Tamandua tetradactyla: one gene and its partners. The main gene of each other region encodes a partner of the protein of the gene in region 3 in a complex. Links are inferred from orthologs where the notes say so. Each region holds a gene or a part of one and is shown on either strand. Other genes may lie near its edges.

Region 1 (5,446 bases), on a different chromosome or scaffold from region 3:
CCAGATAGTAAATTGTTCCTAAAAGGGAACTGACAAAAAGGCAATAACTGACTTAGTACATGCAGTATAACATTAGTGAATGTGTGACAAGAGTAATCATTTCCCTGGTGTGTAAGGCTGTGTCTTCTGTCTTACTTACTCAACTATGAAAGAAAGAAATGTTTACTAATTGCCTGATTACTTTTCCATATTTTATGCAGCAGATAATTCTACCCCTGTTACGGAATTTGCTGATTCCTCAGCACCTAATGCAGCACCTAATGCAGTGCCTGGTAAGCAGTAGGCACTCAAGCATTTGGGGGGAAGGGAGGGGAGGGAAAGAATAAATCTACTAGTTCCAACAGTATGTAACATGAAAGATTGTTAGATATAATATAAAGGGAAAAATAGGTGAGAGATAACCATGTTCCATAACATGAAGAAGTGCTACCAAGTGCTCTGGATTCCAGGCCTAAATCCGATTTGGTCTCTTGCCAAGTCTCTTGCTCCATACCTTATTTTCTTCATCTGCAAAACTAAGCAATCTGATTAAATTAACTTCAGCACCATTTCAAGCTCCATGACAAGAACTAGAGCTGACATGGTTGGTTTTTGCTCATGGAATTTCATAATACATTTCTTAGGGGCCTATTAAATTAATGCTTTCCGTGAAATACTTCGTAATTCAAAAATCTTCAGACAACGTGAAAACAACTCCCCATCTCCCAATTTGATATAGTTTTTGTAAGCTAGTTTTCAAACTCTCTGAAGTGAGTTCTGTCCACCTCCAAGAATCCAGCACAGTGTCTGCTCAGTGCACACACTCAAGGGTCAATTCAAGAAAAGCACATCCACTAAATTAACATTTATTTCGGGTTCTTAAAGAGTTTGGGATTGGGTATTACTGTGGGGAGAACGTGAGCAAGATATTAAAGGGGGGATGCAGATTTCAACTCTAGTTATCAAAATTTCAAGGTGTCAAAGAAGAATTTTAATACTAGGATTCCGTTGGGCTCAGCATTAATTATTAGCTGCTCCAGAATATGAGTCTTACCTTCATTTCTCTATTTCTCACAACCGTGTGCGTAAGTTTCAATGAAGTTTAAACGAGAAAGAAAATCAAGAAGCTCAAGTGAAAACAAAACAGGACCACCTATTTTATAAAGTTAGGTTTTCAAATGAGAGCGGATTCCGGGGTTCAAACTGGCTTTTCACAATCTCTCGGCCTCACTTTCATCACCTGTAGGGTAACGGCGCCGATTTCAAGATTAAATAAGTTAATATATGTAAAGTGCTTGGAACAGTGCCATTCTTAGCGGACGTTTGACTTCCTTAAAGAACAAAGTCTCTTCAAGGCGCGGTCCTACTAACATCTGTATCCCTAGCTCGGTGCTATCTTCTAAGACAAAAGAACTGATAATACATCTCCGTCTGAGTGAAACGCGGTGAAGGCGGAGCAGGGCCCGGGTTCTGCGCACCTAACCCCCGCGCCGCCGCCGTCTAGTCAATGCAGCAAAGTCCTCTGGGAAGTGTAGTTTTTAGACGTTGGAAAAGACTTCAGCCACGGGCCAAAGAGACAATTAAGCTGGGGGACAAGCAGTAAAGGGAGGATATTATCTGATAACTTAACAATGTCGGGCGCCCCAGAAGCGGGTTGAGCCACTCACCTGAGTCCCCCAACACCAGCACCTTCACACGATCCAAGGAAGCCATCTTGCCACCACCTTCCCGGGGTCAACGTCAGTTATAGGACGCTAGGCCAATTAGAGCCGGCCTGAAGGGCAGAGCCTTCGATTTCATTGGCCGGCCAAAGCGTGACTGCAGGTGAATGTAGGGAGGTGGTTTCCAAGGCTTGTCGCAGGAATAACGCGTTGACGTTGGCGCATAAGTGTCGTAGCTCGTTTAAGCCGGTAGTTGAGGCGCTGAAGGAAGCTGTAGTGGGAGTGTTCGAGCGTTCGCTTCGGTAAACCTTGTTCCCAATTCCTTGTTCCAGGTTCCCTGGCTCGGGGTCGCATTTTAGGCTTTCTCCTCCTTTTCACTCCTCTCTCCTTAACCACCCTCTGCCCTTTACCTACACTTCTAACCTGGACCTCTTTTTGGTCCTTCAAAGAACCATTAACCTCGGAGCAGCCCTTGTGCGACCGCGTTTTGGTTGGGTTTGGCTGCGCTGGGTTTGGTTACTGGTTTCAGCTGGGAGAATCCAAGGGAGTTTGGGGGCTCTGGGTCTCGTAGTGGGGAGGAATGAACATTTTTGGACCGGGCTAGGGAGGGCAGCTGGGTCCGGATGTTTGCCGCGAAACATGGGAAGGCGTGGAGAGTGCTATGAAATATGGTAATTATGAAAACAGCAGTTAGGTTTATAGAATCCAAGAAATTCTAGAACTGGAATACTTTACCGAAGTAACCTAGATTCCTCTCATCCTCTCTTTTTTCCTTTTATACTCCACTTTGCAGGGAGCATAATTTTTTAAAATCGCGAATTTGGTTCTTTCACCTTCTTGTTAAAACCATTTGAAGTTTAATAAAAGGCAACAGCCTTTCTTTTCTGGAAGCAGGAATGGAATAAATGAGTTGGGGAGGAGCAAGAGTGGGCTTGTTGGAAGAACACGTGCCTAGGTTATCTATTGAAAGTTTATGGTAATACTTTACTAACTGTGCTGGATCTGGGAATTCATTGGTAAACAAGATAAAGCCTTTGCTCACAAAATAATGTTTTAAGGGTGGGGAGAGAGATGGAGAAAGTAGAACTCTACTCTAAAGAAAGGAAAAGAGCCATAGGAGCGACTTAAAGAAGATGATTCTAATCTAACAAGAGAAATCTGGGAAGGCCTCTCACAGGAAATGTCATTTGAGATTTGAAGGATAATCAGAAGAAGGAGATTTGGACTTAGCTCTTGGGACAGATTGAATAGCAGGTACAATGACTGAAGTGGGAGAAAACCTGTTTGGCTCATGAAATTGAAAGATTGTCAGTGTGGCTGAGGCTAGGCTGACAAGGGTAAATAGAGGGCAGAGAATGCATTCATTTCAAATTTGTTTCTTTAGCTCTATGCTGGTGAACAGTAGTCCCTAAATGTTTTTGTGATTGGAATACATGTGGGTAAATGGTAGCCCAGCCTGTGTTTGGGTGTTTAGGCTGGTTAGGGATGAGGCTGGCAGGTATTTTGAATAAAAAGAAAAAACTCAGAAGTCACACACTCAGAAGGCCAGCCAAGCTTCTAACCTGTCTAAACGTGCCAACTGCGGTCACCTTCAGGTGCTTATTTGCATGTGGGGATGTGGTCTTTTTTTTTCTCAGATATTTTCAATTTTCAAGAGAAGCTGGAAGTTGAAACGTGTGAAATTTCACAATTTTTAAATGTTGGTAACTACAGAAATTTTTCAAGACTTTTTTTAGGTCAAACAATATGTGTATAGGTTACCACTTGAGACCTCTGTTTTAAGTTACTTTAAATATCCAGAGATTGAGTGGGAGATTCAGCAGGAGTGGGTAAGTAGAAATGGTGGAGTAGGGAAGTCATTGGTCAGAAGAAGAATTTCAGAATACGGAGATTTTGAACACAGTAGCACAGCACTGACTTCTTTCCTGGTTCATTTCTTTTGTACAGCTCTCTGCTGTGCATCTTTCTAGTGGTATTTCCTCAAAGATAAACATCTGAGTGCACACTGCTTCCAAACCTACTTTTCTGGTATTACCTATTTCTCAGATAATATTTATATATCAACCTTAATATAATAGCCGAAGACAAATAGCTATTTTTAAATTTTTCCTACTCTAATACCCCATTTTCAATATATTGTTAGTTCCTTTCAGTTTTGTTTCTGTATTGTTTCATTCATCCTGTCCTTTTCTTGGAATTTTTGGTTTTATTTTTTTTCTCCTCCCATTTTTGTTTTCCTTAGTTTTGACTTGATTGCTGTAGTTGCTAATACTCCCGCATTTTCTCCATTTTCACTCACTATAGACCGTTCCTCATATTGTTGAGTCACTTTTTTCTTTTTATTTATACTTTATTGTTTTTTTTAATTTCTCCCTCATTTTTTAAAGGACAGTTTTGCTGGATATAGAATTCTTGGTTGGCAGTTTTTCTCTTTTAATAATTTAAATATATCATCCCACTGTCTTCTTGCCTCCATGGTTTCTGCTAAGAGATCTGCGCATAGTCTTACTGGGCTTCCCTTGTATGTGATGGATTGCTTTTCTCTTGCTGCTTTCAAGATTCTCTCTTTCTCTTTGACCTCTGACATTCTGATTAGTAAATGTCTTGGAGTATGTCCATTGGATCTATTCTCTTTGGGGTATGCTGCGCTTCTTGGATCTGTAATTTTAAGTCTTTCATAAGAGTTGGGAAATTTTCAGTGATAATTTCCTCCATTAGTTTTTCTCCTCCTTTTCTTTATTGTTTTTTTTAATGCAGTTTTACTGAGATATATTCACACACCATACAATCAAGAGTCACTTTTAAAAATCTTATAAATGGCAGTACTTAGTTGTACTGTATTATGGTGCCAACCCTGAAAGAGAATTTTCCTTGAATTATTTCATTTAATCCATACGTCAACCCTGTGAGGAAGGCACTTTTAATCACTTTTTATATGAGGAAACTGAGTTTGGGAATTTTCCAGGGCATAGGGGTAGGAAGTAGAACTCAAATTCAAAATCCACTATTGTTGGATTACAGAGTGTTTATGTCACATCCATGTTTAAATCTTCAGAGGCCCCTCAAGTGTATCAGGCAAAGAAAACAGGCTGGTAAGTGACACTGGGACTTCCCTATGCAGAACGTGCATCGGAGGGATATATAATAGCCTGGTGCCCAGTTTGTCAGTGGTCAGTGACTTCTGTGTACATTACAGCCGCTTAAAGAGGTTTTAAAATTAGTGTGGTGCTTGACTTGGCCCTCCAAACCAGCTGAAAACAGAGTCTCTGGGAATGAGGTTGAGGGTTCTTATTATTTATTCTCCAGATGATTCTGTTTTATAGCCAGGATTGAGAACTGCTGGTCTGGAGCACAGAGTGTATTATGTATGTGTGAGGGTAGGGTAGGGGGTGAAGGTGACAGTGGAGAATCACTAGTAGGAAATAACTGAAAATTAGGTTAGAGGAAGATCATGGATTAGGCTAAGGTCTTTATTCTGTAGGTAATAGGGAGCATTATGGTGTGTGCAGATGGATGGTCTTTGGGAGATGCCCAGATATGTGTTTTAGGAAACTAGCAGCAGTGTGAAAGAAGGACTGGAGGAGGGGAAGGGGTAGGGACAGGGGCATGTAATAGATGAGATTTTATTTAGGACAAAGTGGAAAAGGTGTGATTGCAGAGGCAGTTGGGCTTCAGCAGATTATATTTGGGACGGTAAGGGGGAAGATAGCTGAACAACCAAGAGTACTGGAAATAGAGAGAGACTGTTTACTTAAATGTAGGGTGACCATATTCCCAAATTTCCTGGAGCAAGGACTGTTGTGGAT
Region 2 (5,446 bases), on a different chromosome or scaffold from region 3:
CCCAGCCCCTCCTCCTGGAAGAAGAGCACAGAGATTCTGGAATTCTGGGTGGTGAGAAATCAGCAGCTCCCAGTTCTGCCTGGGCAGGGAAGCAGGCAAGAGACTCACGATGTCATTTTTGTCCACACGGGTCCCCACAATCTTCAGGCGGATCTCATCGTCCTGCTGGATCACAATGTCCTGGGGAGAAGCGATCGGTGGTACTCAGAACTGCCAGCCCAGTGCCCCTGGCTCAGAGTGGCTCATTCCGTCCTCCCTCACACTGACCTCCTCGTGCCCACTCACCTCATCCATTGTCTTATAGCACGGTGGGTTAGAGTTAGGATCAAACTCCATCTCTGATGGGATGGACTAAAAAGAAAGAGACCGGATCCATGCTTTGCATGGACGCTTAAGTAGATGGCCACAAGTGGGTGGCTCAGCCCCACCCTGCAAGCCCTAAACTTACATGTCGAGAGATGAAGCAGGACATGGGCCCAATTTCTGTGAAGAGTCCCACCTAGAAGGAAAATGAATGCTCTTGCTTTACCTCCTGCTCCCCAAAGTCTTCTAAGCTGCTCATTTTATCCGAGTATTAATAATATTCTTCATGTTTTTTAATCACTCTTGTTTACAACTTTTTTTTCCCCTTTCTCCTTTTTATTTTAAATCCTTTCATTTTAAATTAAGCAAATACAGCACAGCAGTCAAATTAGGCCTGGAATCTGAACACCAACACTGCCAACTGCTGGCCACATGATGCTGGTCAGTAAACTTAACTTTTCTAAGCCTCAGCTTCTATAAAAAGTGATAAAAGATCCCACCTGCCAGTCACTGTTAGGCCATGTACATTACCTGGCCCACAGCAACCCCTCAATCAACACTAACTACTATTGTTATAACTATTAAAACAGACGCCCAGGGGTGAGAAACTTCCTGCAATGTGGGACAGAAATGGAATGAGCTGAGACTCAGCATTAAGGGATTGAGAAAACCTTCTCGACCAAAAGGGAAAGAGTGAAATGAGACAAATTAAGTATCAATGGCTGAGAGATTCCAAATAGAGTCAAGAGGTTATCCTGGAGGTTATTCTTACGCATTAAGTAGATATCACCTTGTTAGTCAAGATACAGTGGAGAGGCCGGAGGGAACTGCCTGAAAATGTAGAGCTGTGTTTCAGTAGCCATGTTTCTTGAAGATGATTGTATAATGATATAGCTGTCACAACGTGACTGTGTGATTGTGAAAACCTTGTGTATGATGCTCCTTTTGTCCACCTTATCAACAGATGAATAAAACATATGGAATAAAGATGAATAATAGGGGGAACAAATGTTAAAATAAATTTAGAGTGAAATGCTGGTGATCGGTGACGGGGAGGGATGGGGGGTAATGGTATGTATGAATTTTTTTCTGTTTTTTTTATTTCTTTTTTCTGAATAGATGCAAATGTTCCAAGAAATGATCATGACGATGAATATGCAACTATGTGACAATATTGTGAATTACTGATTATACATGTAGAACGGAATGATAAAAAAATTATGAACATTTGCATTTGTTTGGTGTTTTTTGGTATTTAAAAAAAAATTCAAAAATAATAAAAAAATAGATTCAGGTGTTAATGTTTCATTTAACACAGGGAGGAAACTGCAGCGCAAAGTTGTGACTTGCCCAAGGACACAGAATTAGTAAATGGAATCAATCACAACCCAACCTAGACCTTGGAAGGACCAGCCCACTGCCTTCCCCAAAACATGACCTCACCTTGTTGACCTGGGTGACAACGGCATCGACGACTTCCCCTTTGAAGGGCCGGAAAACAATGGCCTTATACTTAACTGGGTAAAGGACAAAGCCTCGGCCTGGCTGGATTACACCAGCCCCTATGTTGTCGATGGTGGTGACGGCAATTACAAAGCCATACCTGCGAGGAGAATGAGAAAGAGAAAGGTGCTGTTTGCAGAAGGCCCTCTAAAGCCACAGCTGGGGGATAAAAGGGGGGACACAAAGGGAAAGTAGGCAGCACTCCTGTCTTCAGAGCGGTTAATGACCAATAAAGAAGACACGACACACGTCGGTAACAATTCTCCATAGTGCCAAATGCTGTGCTCAGAATCCCAAAACATATGTCCAAGGTTGCAGCCCTTGAGTTAAAAGACCTCAAACTTTGGGATCCCTCAGATTCCTCTGGGAGGAATTTGTTAAAATGCAGACTCCCAGAGACCTGATTCTGCACGGCTGAGATGAGACTCAGGAACCTGCATTTCAAGAAACGCTTCAGATTATTCTGAAATTGGAGGCCCGAGTACTCCATTGTCCTGGCGTTAAACCCTAATTCTTTCACGTCATCTCTGAGAGGCCTCTCTGCAGGGCCTTCTTTCCTTCCCCAAACTCTCTTTCAGGTCAAGCTGAAAAATCTGTTAAATGAATGACCAATCTCAGCTGAGCAAGGTAAGTCCAGTTGTCCAGCTTTGCAGAGGGCACTTCGCAGAAACCCAAACCAGGGGGGCAACTGACTGCCTGGGGTGCCCGGGAAGATGACAGGGCTTCCGAGAATGGGTGACAAGCCCTCGCAGGATGAGAAGTTGGGGAGGGGGCTGCAGGCAGAGGGCACTCACTTCCCGGTACAAGTCCCCTCCACCTCGGTGAAGAGCTTCTGCTTCACCGTGTTGAGCAGATTGGGGCCGAAGTAGCGCGGGTGCAGCAGGATCTCATGCTCCAAGGAGATCTGCAGGGGCAAGTGGAGTGGAGATCTGGCAAAGCGCCGTGGGGAGACGGGGTGAGAGGCTGCCCCTAGCCCCTCCAATCCGCCAGGCCCTCGCCTCCACCCACGCGGCGCTCACGTGGTAGAACATCTTCTCGGAGGAGATTTGACTGCAGGTACCTCACCTACGGAGGTAGCGGCACTTCTACTTCCGCCGGAAATACCCGTAGCCGCCCCAACCCGGCTTCCGGGCAGACGTCGGCGGCGGGGGTGGGACTCCGCCCCCTCCGCGAACCCGATTGGGCTTCGTTGTTTGGGAGGGGCAGGTCAGGGAACCACGAAGCCCCGCCCTCTGGCCCGCCCACCAGCCGTCAAACCTTCAGGACAAGCATAAATTGACAGTGCCTGGCGGATGATACATGCTCAGTTAATGCCTCGAAACGGAACTACTTAGTTAATGAAAGACGACCCAAGTAGGGCGTTTAGCAGAATGCTTTCATTCAGCAAGCAATTTGAAGACTGCTTTCACAGAGCATAGTAAGTAGCTGTTACTTCAGTTAATTCACACAGCATCCCCATGAGGCAGGTTTTATTATAATTCCTATTTACAGATGTGGTCGCAGGCTCAGAGTCACAGGGGGACCGGGAATCCATTTCAGGAACGCTGGATTCCAAGACGCCTTTACATTCAGGCTTTCCAAATATTCATTCGCTTGTCCCTTCAACAAACCACTTATTGAGTGCTCACTTTGAGCCAGGCGCTGGGGGTGTACAAATGGAGCATCCAGAGTCAGGGTCCAGAGGGGCGCGCTCCCTCCCACGGCGAGGAGAACCGGGTCCCTACAGCTCCCGGTGCACACAAAGATCCCTAGAGAACTGTCGAGACTTGTCAGTTCCTTCAATTCTGCCCACACTTTTGTAGATGGCGTCTTTATTAAACCCACATCAATGAGCCAGAGTGAGTGTGCAATCTGTTTCCTGCTGAGATTCTGACTGATAAAAAAGCCAGAAAGAGAAAAGCAGAAACACGATGAGCCTCAGAACTATGGAAAAGGTTCAGCAAGAGCAGCTTTGGTTCTAGAGCCAGAGGAATCCACGTAGCCTTGAAAAACCCCACGGTCGTTTAAGTGTATGTTGTAAGTAGAAGACCCTGATCTACCCTTCTGCAAAAACAGAGACCTCGCACTTCCTTGGAGTTGTCATAATATGGAAGACACACCAATCCCCTTTGATGCTGTCCATCTGCTAGATGGTTGAGGCTCCCTGTCAGTTGCTCAGATTCCATGGGAATTCTCTCTCCCCCCCATCAGGAAAAGCAGACCAGTGTGCCTCAACAGCCCTGACTCCCTCACTTCTTTTTCAGGCCAGCCTGCCCCAAAGGATAACCTTACTTGCTGTGCTTGTTTGAAAAGATGTATGTACCCTAGAAAAGCCATGTTTTAATCGTAATCCCCTTTTGTAAAGGTAGCCATTTCTTCTAATCCCTATTCAGTACTGTATGTTTGAAACTGTAATTAGATCATCTCCCTAGAGATATGACTCAATCAGGAGTGGATTACGTGGAAACGTGTCTCCACCCATTTGGGGGGTCTTGATTAGTTTATGGGAATCTTATAAAAAAGGAAACATTTTGGAGAAAGCTGGAGATTCGGAGAGAGCAGAGAATTCTGCAGCACCACGAAGCAGAGAGTCCACCAGCCAGTGCTTTGGAGATGAAGAAGAAAAACGCCTCCCGGGGAGCTTTATGAAATAGGAAGCCAGGAGAGGAGCTAGCAGATGACACCATGCTCACCTTGTGCCCTCCCAGCCAAAAAACCGTGACTGTGTTCACCATGTGCCTTCTCACTTGAGAAAGAAACCCTGAACTTCATTGGCCTTCTTGAACCAAGGTATCTTTCCCTGGATGCCTTTGATTGGACATTTCTATAGACTTGTTTTAATTGGAACAGTTTCTTGGCCTTAGAACTGTAAACTAGCAACTTATTAAATTCCACTAAGCCATTCTGTTTCTGGTACATTGCATTCCAGCAGCTAGCAAACTAGAACAGCATTCACCACCACAATTAATATGAGAACATTCTCATTTATTAAAAAAAAAAAATCCCATATCGCTTAAGCCCTCCCATTATTGATGCTTAGCTTTGGTATTAGTGTCTTTGTTACCAATTAATGAAAGAAGATTACCATATTACTATCAACTATAGTCCATAGATCATATTAATTGTAATTTTTACCATATGCCACCCTGTTATTAACACCTTGTAATACTAACGTTTGTTATAGTTCATGTAAAAACATTCTTATATTTGTACCGTTAACCACAGTCATTGTCTATTACAGGTTTCACTTTATTATGTAGTCCCATGCTTTATCCTCTAGCTTTCCTTCTAGTGACATGTATGACCCTGGCCTTCCCCTTTTAACTATCCTCACACTCAGCATTGTTACACTTTCAGTATTGTGCTGCCATCACATAGTATTGTGCTATCCATTTCTGAACATTTACAATCAACCTAACTAAACATTCTGAACACGTTAAGCATCATCTGCCCATTCTCTACCCTCCTTTATCTCCTGTTAACCTATACTCTTGAACTTAACTCCTAGAGTTTGCTCATTATGATTATTCATATTAGCGAGACCATACGTTATTTGTCCTTTTGTTCCTAGCTTATTTTGTTCAACATAATGTCCTCAAGGTTCATCCACATTACTGTATGCATCAGGACTTCATTTCTTCCGACAGCTGCATAATATTCC
Region 3 (5,446 bases):
TTATGTAACACAAGAGGAAATAAATGAAGACCACCCAAATGAAAACAAACTTTTTATTCAGAACTTGCTTCAGCAAGTGAGTCAGAGGCCATCACTTGTGTTTGGCAGAGGTTCAAAGGCAGAAGGGAAGCTTTATGTTAACAAAAATCCAAAAAAACAAAAAGGAAGTATCTGGTATGTCTTGATTAAAGGTTGTTGGCAGTGGAAGCTGGAAATAGGCTAACTAGAAATGGGGTGTGGGGGATTTTACGTGAATGATTTGGGGAATGTGCTGGTTTGAAAGGATGTATGCCCCCTAGAAAAGCCATGTTTTAATCAAAATCCCATTTCATAAAGGTAGAATAATCCCTATTCAATACTGTATGTTTAAAACTGTAATCAGATCATCTCCCTGGATGATGTGTTTGCCACGTGCCCTTCCAGTAGCCATGTTCTTGATGATGATTGAACAATGATATAGCTTTCACAATGAGACTCTGTGAATGTGAAAACCTTATTCTGATGCTCCTTTTAGCTACTATATCAACAGAAGAGCAGAACATATGGAATAAAAATAAATAATAGGGGGAACAAATGTTAAAATAAATTCAGTTTGCAATAGTGGTAAATGAAAGCCAGGGGTAAGGGGTATGGTACGTATAGTTTTTTTTTCTCTATTATCATTTTATTTCTTTTTCTGTTGTCTTTTTATTTCTTTTTCTAAATCGATGCAAATGTACTAAGAAATGATGAATATGCAACTATGTGATGATATTAAGAATTACTGATTGTATATGTAGAATGGAATGATATTTAAATGTTTTATTTGTTACTTTTTTTTAATTAATAAAAAAAGTTAAAAAAAAATCTGGGTCCTAATCAATTGTTACATAAAGTTACATTTCCTGAGGGCGTGTGATAACCATAAAGCAGGTTTATTAGAAAATGCTCTAGGATGAAACTAATTAAAAGAGCACACATTTTGGCTTTAGTTTCGAGTTTTGACCAACATGTGTCATGTATTATCTAATTAAATCTTCACACAATGTAAATAACCCATTGTGTTAATTTTCCCAAATAAGTTATTATTTTCCCAATAACTTAACCTAGACACAGGTTAAGTTATTTGAGGAGTAACCAGTACTAAGTAATTAAACAACGAGAGTGGTTAAGCATCGTCTTGGCTGCAACTGTAGGTTATAAGAGAGAGGAAAGGACAGCCCCAGGAAGTCTGATCTCCAGCACATTGCACCATGAGGGCAAGGCCGAGGATCTTTTCCCTTGCTTTATGTCCACTCCTTTATGTTGCCTGCAAAATCCGAAATGCTTTCCCACAGAGTTCAGAGTTGTAGTGGAAAAAACCCTGGTTGGGAGTTCAGAGACTGGGACAAATCCTCCACTTCAGGAGCTGTCTTTGCTAGCTGTGCCGTCTTGAGCAAATCATTTAGCTTCACTTTAAAAAGAAACGGCTGGGACAATGTACTCAGAGGTTCAGGTGCTGAGGACTGGCATTTGAGGTAAAGTCACAGTAGCCTTAAATCTCTGCAAAGGAAATATATTTCTTCCATATTCCTTTGTGCGGCCCCATCCCGCGCCGGCCCCAAGTCTGGTTCTCAGTCCCACTACCAGCCACCCTCCCGTTGTCATGGAGATCTGAACGCCCGAGAAAGGCTGAGTCCCCGCCCCAGGTACCTGTGGCCTGGCTCGCGAATGCGCACGCGCGTTCTCGGCAGCGCCGGCGCCGCGGTGGTTGCTGGGACTCTGCTCCTAGCAGCCCGATCAGGAAGTGGCGGGCGGAGCCCCGGGTCGCGTCGCCGCCTCAGCCGCCGCCGCCAGTGCCGAGACCCCGGCGAGCGGGTCAGCGCTGGGTGCGCGCGCGGGCAGGCGGGGGCGCTGACGAGGAGCAGGAAGGGGCGGCCGCGCCGGTGTGGGCGGCTGGCCGGGGCGGAGGTGCCCGAGAGGCAGCGGCGGGTCGCGTGGGGCGGCCCTCCTGGCTCAGGTAGGGGCTCTGGCGGCCGGCAGTGGGGCGCGGACCCCCAGCCTGTGGTTCCTCGGGACTGAGGGGGGCGGGAGTGTGTTCCACCTCCCCGGGAGGCTGGGGTGCCGTCCTCTGTTCGAAACTCCTCTAAACACTGTAACGATTCCGTGGGAGCATTGTCCTTTAGGCCGGAGCGTACATTTAGCAAACTTTTGGGTTGGAAAGAGGGAAATTCGCAATCGGACGGCTGATTTGTTCCTTTGAGTGCCTTCAAGTTTACACCAGAAGCATTTAAGCGAACTTTGGTATCCAGACAAATAAAGGCTGTGATTTAGACACATACTCGTCCACGGACTATTTCTTAGGCTGGCTTTTGGAGACCTAGTTGGTACTGACTTTTCAAGTTTAATTCTCATAGTTTTGTGCAAAGGCTAAAGACTTTTTTGTAAAGCAGAAAAGCTGCGATGCCTTTCCGCGCACCTCTACATTTCTGTCGTCTGGGAGGGAAGCAGCTTCCTCTCAGCCCGCCGGCTGTTCGTAGCAGGGTGCTTGGGTGTCAGTGGCACCCTCGAGGTTTAGTCGGGGGAAGCAGCAAAACAGAAGAGTAGAAAGGTTGAAAGAGGTCGGATGGTGTAGTGGAGAGGACCTGTGCTTTGGAGCCAGAAGATTTTGGTTTAGTTTTTGGCTTCTCGATGTTCATCCGTGGAAGAATACAACAGCAAACGGAACCTGTGGGGTGGTCATCGTGGTTTTTTTTAAATGTAAACATGTGGGTGGGGATGTGTCCAGTCTGATCGAGATGTAAACCTCAATGGAAATGTTTTTGTAATCCGAGAAAAGGGAAGAAGTGGAGAAAAGTTAGGAAGAGCATGCAGTGGTGAAAGAAAGAGATCGAGAAGGTGCCACCCAGGTCGCCTTTGTTTGGAGGCCTTGACCTGCTTTCCAGGTCTGGTGTAAAGAGCACTTAACCAGGAGTCAGGAGATTCGGGTCCTAGCCCTTTTTTTCCAGCTGTGTCGCCTTTGCTGTACCTCTTCACTTCAGATTTCACATATTAAAGGAGAAATAAACCTGATGCTTTATTATTTCATAGAGTTGTGAGGATCAAAGACAGTAAGCCTTTAGGTCTTTGTGAACAGTAAGGCTTTATTTAAACTTGTGTCAAAATCGTTATTAAAAGCTCAGATTTATTATGTTTGTAGGTGAAATGAACAATAAAAATTGAAATACAAATGCTTCCTGTTTTAGGAGATTACGATCTGCTTGTTGCCCCTACCATGTCACTTGTGAATTCTCATTCCTTATTCTCATACTGACACTTTCCCTCTTCCCAAAATATTCTCCTCCCTGCCTTGCCCCAGTATAGCCATTCTGTTATTTATTTCCAGATCCAATTCAAATAGTAATACTGTAGTGATGACCTTTATGTATATAGCATGGAGCTTGAAGTTTTTAAAAATTGCATTCAAAAACATTTTTTCATTTTGTCCTTATAATTGGGCCAAACATAAATAGTGCTGAAAGTATCCTCCTTTTACTTATGGTAAAATTGGATTTAGAGAGGTCTAGGGGATTGCTTAGGGCCATGCGACTCTGGGAACTGAAACTGAGACAAGAGGGCTGGCCTTTGACTTTGGGCCCAGTGACTTCACTTTTTACTTAACCACTTTTTGCTTAACTCTGTTGCTTATCGACACTTGTGTTTTTAATACTCCGAATCACATTTTATTTATTTATTGCTTTTTATGCACCATGCTTGTTTACCTTTGTGTTCTCAAATGTAAGCTGCTTGAGGGCAAGGATTTATCTTCCAGACCTTTTAAAACTTTGGAGCACAATGCCTCACAAACAGAAGATGTTTAATAAAACATCTTGTTGAGACCAGTAATCCTAAGGCTAGAGCAATTTAATGATTTTTAAAATTTGTTATTCACTTAAATATTTATTGAGCTACCTTGTGCTTAAAACCTTTCAGTGTTTGAGATGGAATCCTTTTTCTCCAGGATCTTACTGAATTATGAATACTAATCTTAACAATGTCATACTCATTCACATAGCTTGAGCTCTTTCTAGATCCTCTGCAGGCATCTATGAAGATTTCAGACAAGAGAAGAATGTTTTTGTAAATTCTTGTTTATTGATCTGTAGCTTCCTGGTTTAGCTAAAGTTTTTAGACTTGTCGAATTTTAGAATTGAGAAAAATCCCTGAGGGGCTAATTTAGTCCAAGCCTCCCAAATCAGGAATTTTCTGTAGATATTTCTAACAGATACTCATCTAGCCTCTTCATCACTAGTTAATTGAGAGTTCATCAGTTTTTAAGGTACATAGTTTCATATATAAGCACTTGAGATTACCCTTTCTCTCTCTTTTGTTTTTGTTTGCAATGGGCCTAAATCTACTTCCTGATTTTTTCTGCAAAGTCCTGATGTTGTTTTCTAGTGCAATGTTAAAAGAAACAGGTGAAATGAATTTTAATATTCTATTTAACCCAGTATATCTAAAATATCGTTTTAACACATAATCAATGTAAAGTATTTAGGTGATTGTTATATTTTCTTTGAAATCTGGTGTGTGTTTTACACTTAGAATATATCTCAATTTGGTCTAGCTACATTTCAGGTTCTCAATTGGTACGTGTGGTTAATGACTACTACCATACTGGACAGCACAGCTGTAGAGTTTAAAAGAATAATTTTACTTCTTTTTTCACTCCCTAGCACAGTCCTTGGCACATAATAGGCACTAATTAAATATGTGTTGGATGAATAAATGAGTGAGTAAATACGACAATTGTTAGAGAACTTATAAAAGGTGATTTTGAGTTGTAACTCTTGTTGAGAGCTATGTATTTGGCAGATGGGTTTGAGTGATGTTTGTGTGTATTGAAGATATTTATTTTTGTCTTTTCAGCAGCATGGATCCCAGCCTGTTGAGAGAAAGGGAGCTGTTCAAAAAACGAGCTCTTTCCACTCCTGTAGTAGAGAAACGTTCAGTAACTTCTGAGTCATCATCATCATCATCGAAGAAGAAGAAAGCAAAGCTAGAACATGGAGGGTCATCAGGCTCTAAACAGAATTCTGGTTAGTTAAATTGGCTGTTTAGGACTGTTTAGTTTTTTTTTTTTTCAGGAAATTATTACTGAGGTATAATTTATATGCCATAAACTTCCCCATTTTAAGTGCACAAGTCAGTAGTTTAATAAAGTCACGGAGCTGTGCAACCATTACTGCAATCCAATTTTGGAACATTTCCACCACCCCAAAAAGCTCCCTTCTGCCCATTTGTAGTCACTCCTTTCTTAGTTTGCTATGGCCGCTGTAACAAAGTATCACAGACTAGGAGGTTTAAAACAATAGAAATTTATTGTCTCACAATTCTGAAGGCTAAAAGTCCAAAATCAATGTGTCGGCAGGGCCATACTCCCTCTGAAACCTATATGGGAGAATGCTTCCTAGCTTCTGGTGATTTGCCCATAATTCTTGGTGTTCTA

Evidence for each region.
Region 1: the proteins of GTF2E2 (region 3) and GTF2E1 are in contact, whole or in part, in a crystal structure (PDB 5GPY), measured with the Homo sapiens proteins. The link is inferred for Tamandua tetradactyla from reciprocal best matches to the Homo sapiens genes GTF2E2 and GTF2E1. Residues at the interface, in NP_002086.1 of Homo sapiens: Asp159, Gln160, Arg161, Gly162, Leu163, Gly164, Gly165, Leu167, Leu190, Val192, Asn193, Arg194, Pro195, Ile200, Phe202, Cys208, Gln209, Phe210, Ser211, Val212, Asp213, Glu215, Phe216, Gln217, Leu219, Trp220, Arg221, Val223, Thr224, Val225; in NP_005504.2 of Homo sapiens: Arg16, Lys19, Tyr20, Val21, Arg23, Gly24, Phe25, Tyr26, Ile28, Glu29, Leu32, Arg39, Leu51, Leu52, Lys53, Phe54, Asp55, Gln58, Gly68, Asp69, Lys70, Phe71, Lys73, Thr98, Asn101, Val102, Val103, Lys104, Tyr105, Lys106.
Region 2: GTF2E2 (region 3) and POLR2G share a complex: the UniProt entries of both Homo sapiens proteins name them as parts of the TBP-based Pol II pre-initiation complex. The link is inferred for Tamandua tetradactyla from reciprocal best matches to the Homo sapiens genes GTF2E2 and POLR2G.

What each region holds. Positions count from the first base shown.
Region 1 is NC_135336.1:25,108,133-25,113,578, reverse strand, and holds the start of GTF2E1 (general transcription factor IIE subunit 1), read left to right. Parts: upstream 1-1,811; 5' UTR 1,812-1,942; intron 1,943-1,948; exon of another isoform or gene 1,949-2,894; intron 2,895-5,446. Other genes in the region: RABL3 (rab-like protein 3), read right to left, coding at 1,647-1,692.
Region 2 is NC_135335.1:11,826,831-11,832,276, forward strand, and holds the start of POLR2G (DNA-directed RNA polymerase II subunit RPB7), read right to left. Parts: upstream 2,941-5,446; 5' UTR 2,838-2,940; coding exon 2,826-2,837; intron 2,711-2,825; coding exon 2,601-2,710; intron 1,907-2,600; coding exon 1,747-1,906; intron 500-1,746; coding exon 449-499; intron 352-448; coding exon 286-351; intron 181-285; coding exon 109-180; intron 1-108. UniProt on the Homo sapiens protein: Core component of RNA polymerase II (Pol II), a DNA-dependent RNA polymerase which synthesizes mRNA precursors and many functional non-coding RNAs using the four ribonucleoside triphosphates as substrates.
Region 3 is NC_135352.1:12,980,920-12,986,365, forward strand, and holds the start of GTF2E2 (transcription initiation factor IIE subunit beta), read left to right. Parts: upstream 1-1,845; 5' UTR 1,846-1,978; intron 1,979-4,866; 5' UTR 4,867-4,870; coding exon 4,871-5,036; intron 5,037-5,446. UniProt on the Homo sapiens protein: Recruits TFIIH to the initiation complex and stimulates the RNA polymerase II C-terminal domain kinase and DNA-dependent ATPase activities of TFIIH. Both TFIIH and TFIIE are required for promoter clearance by RNA polymerase.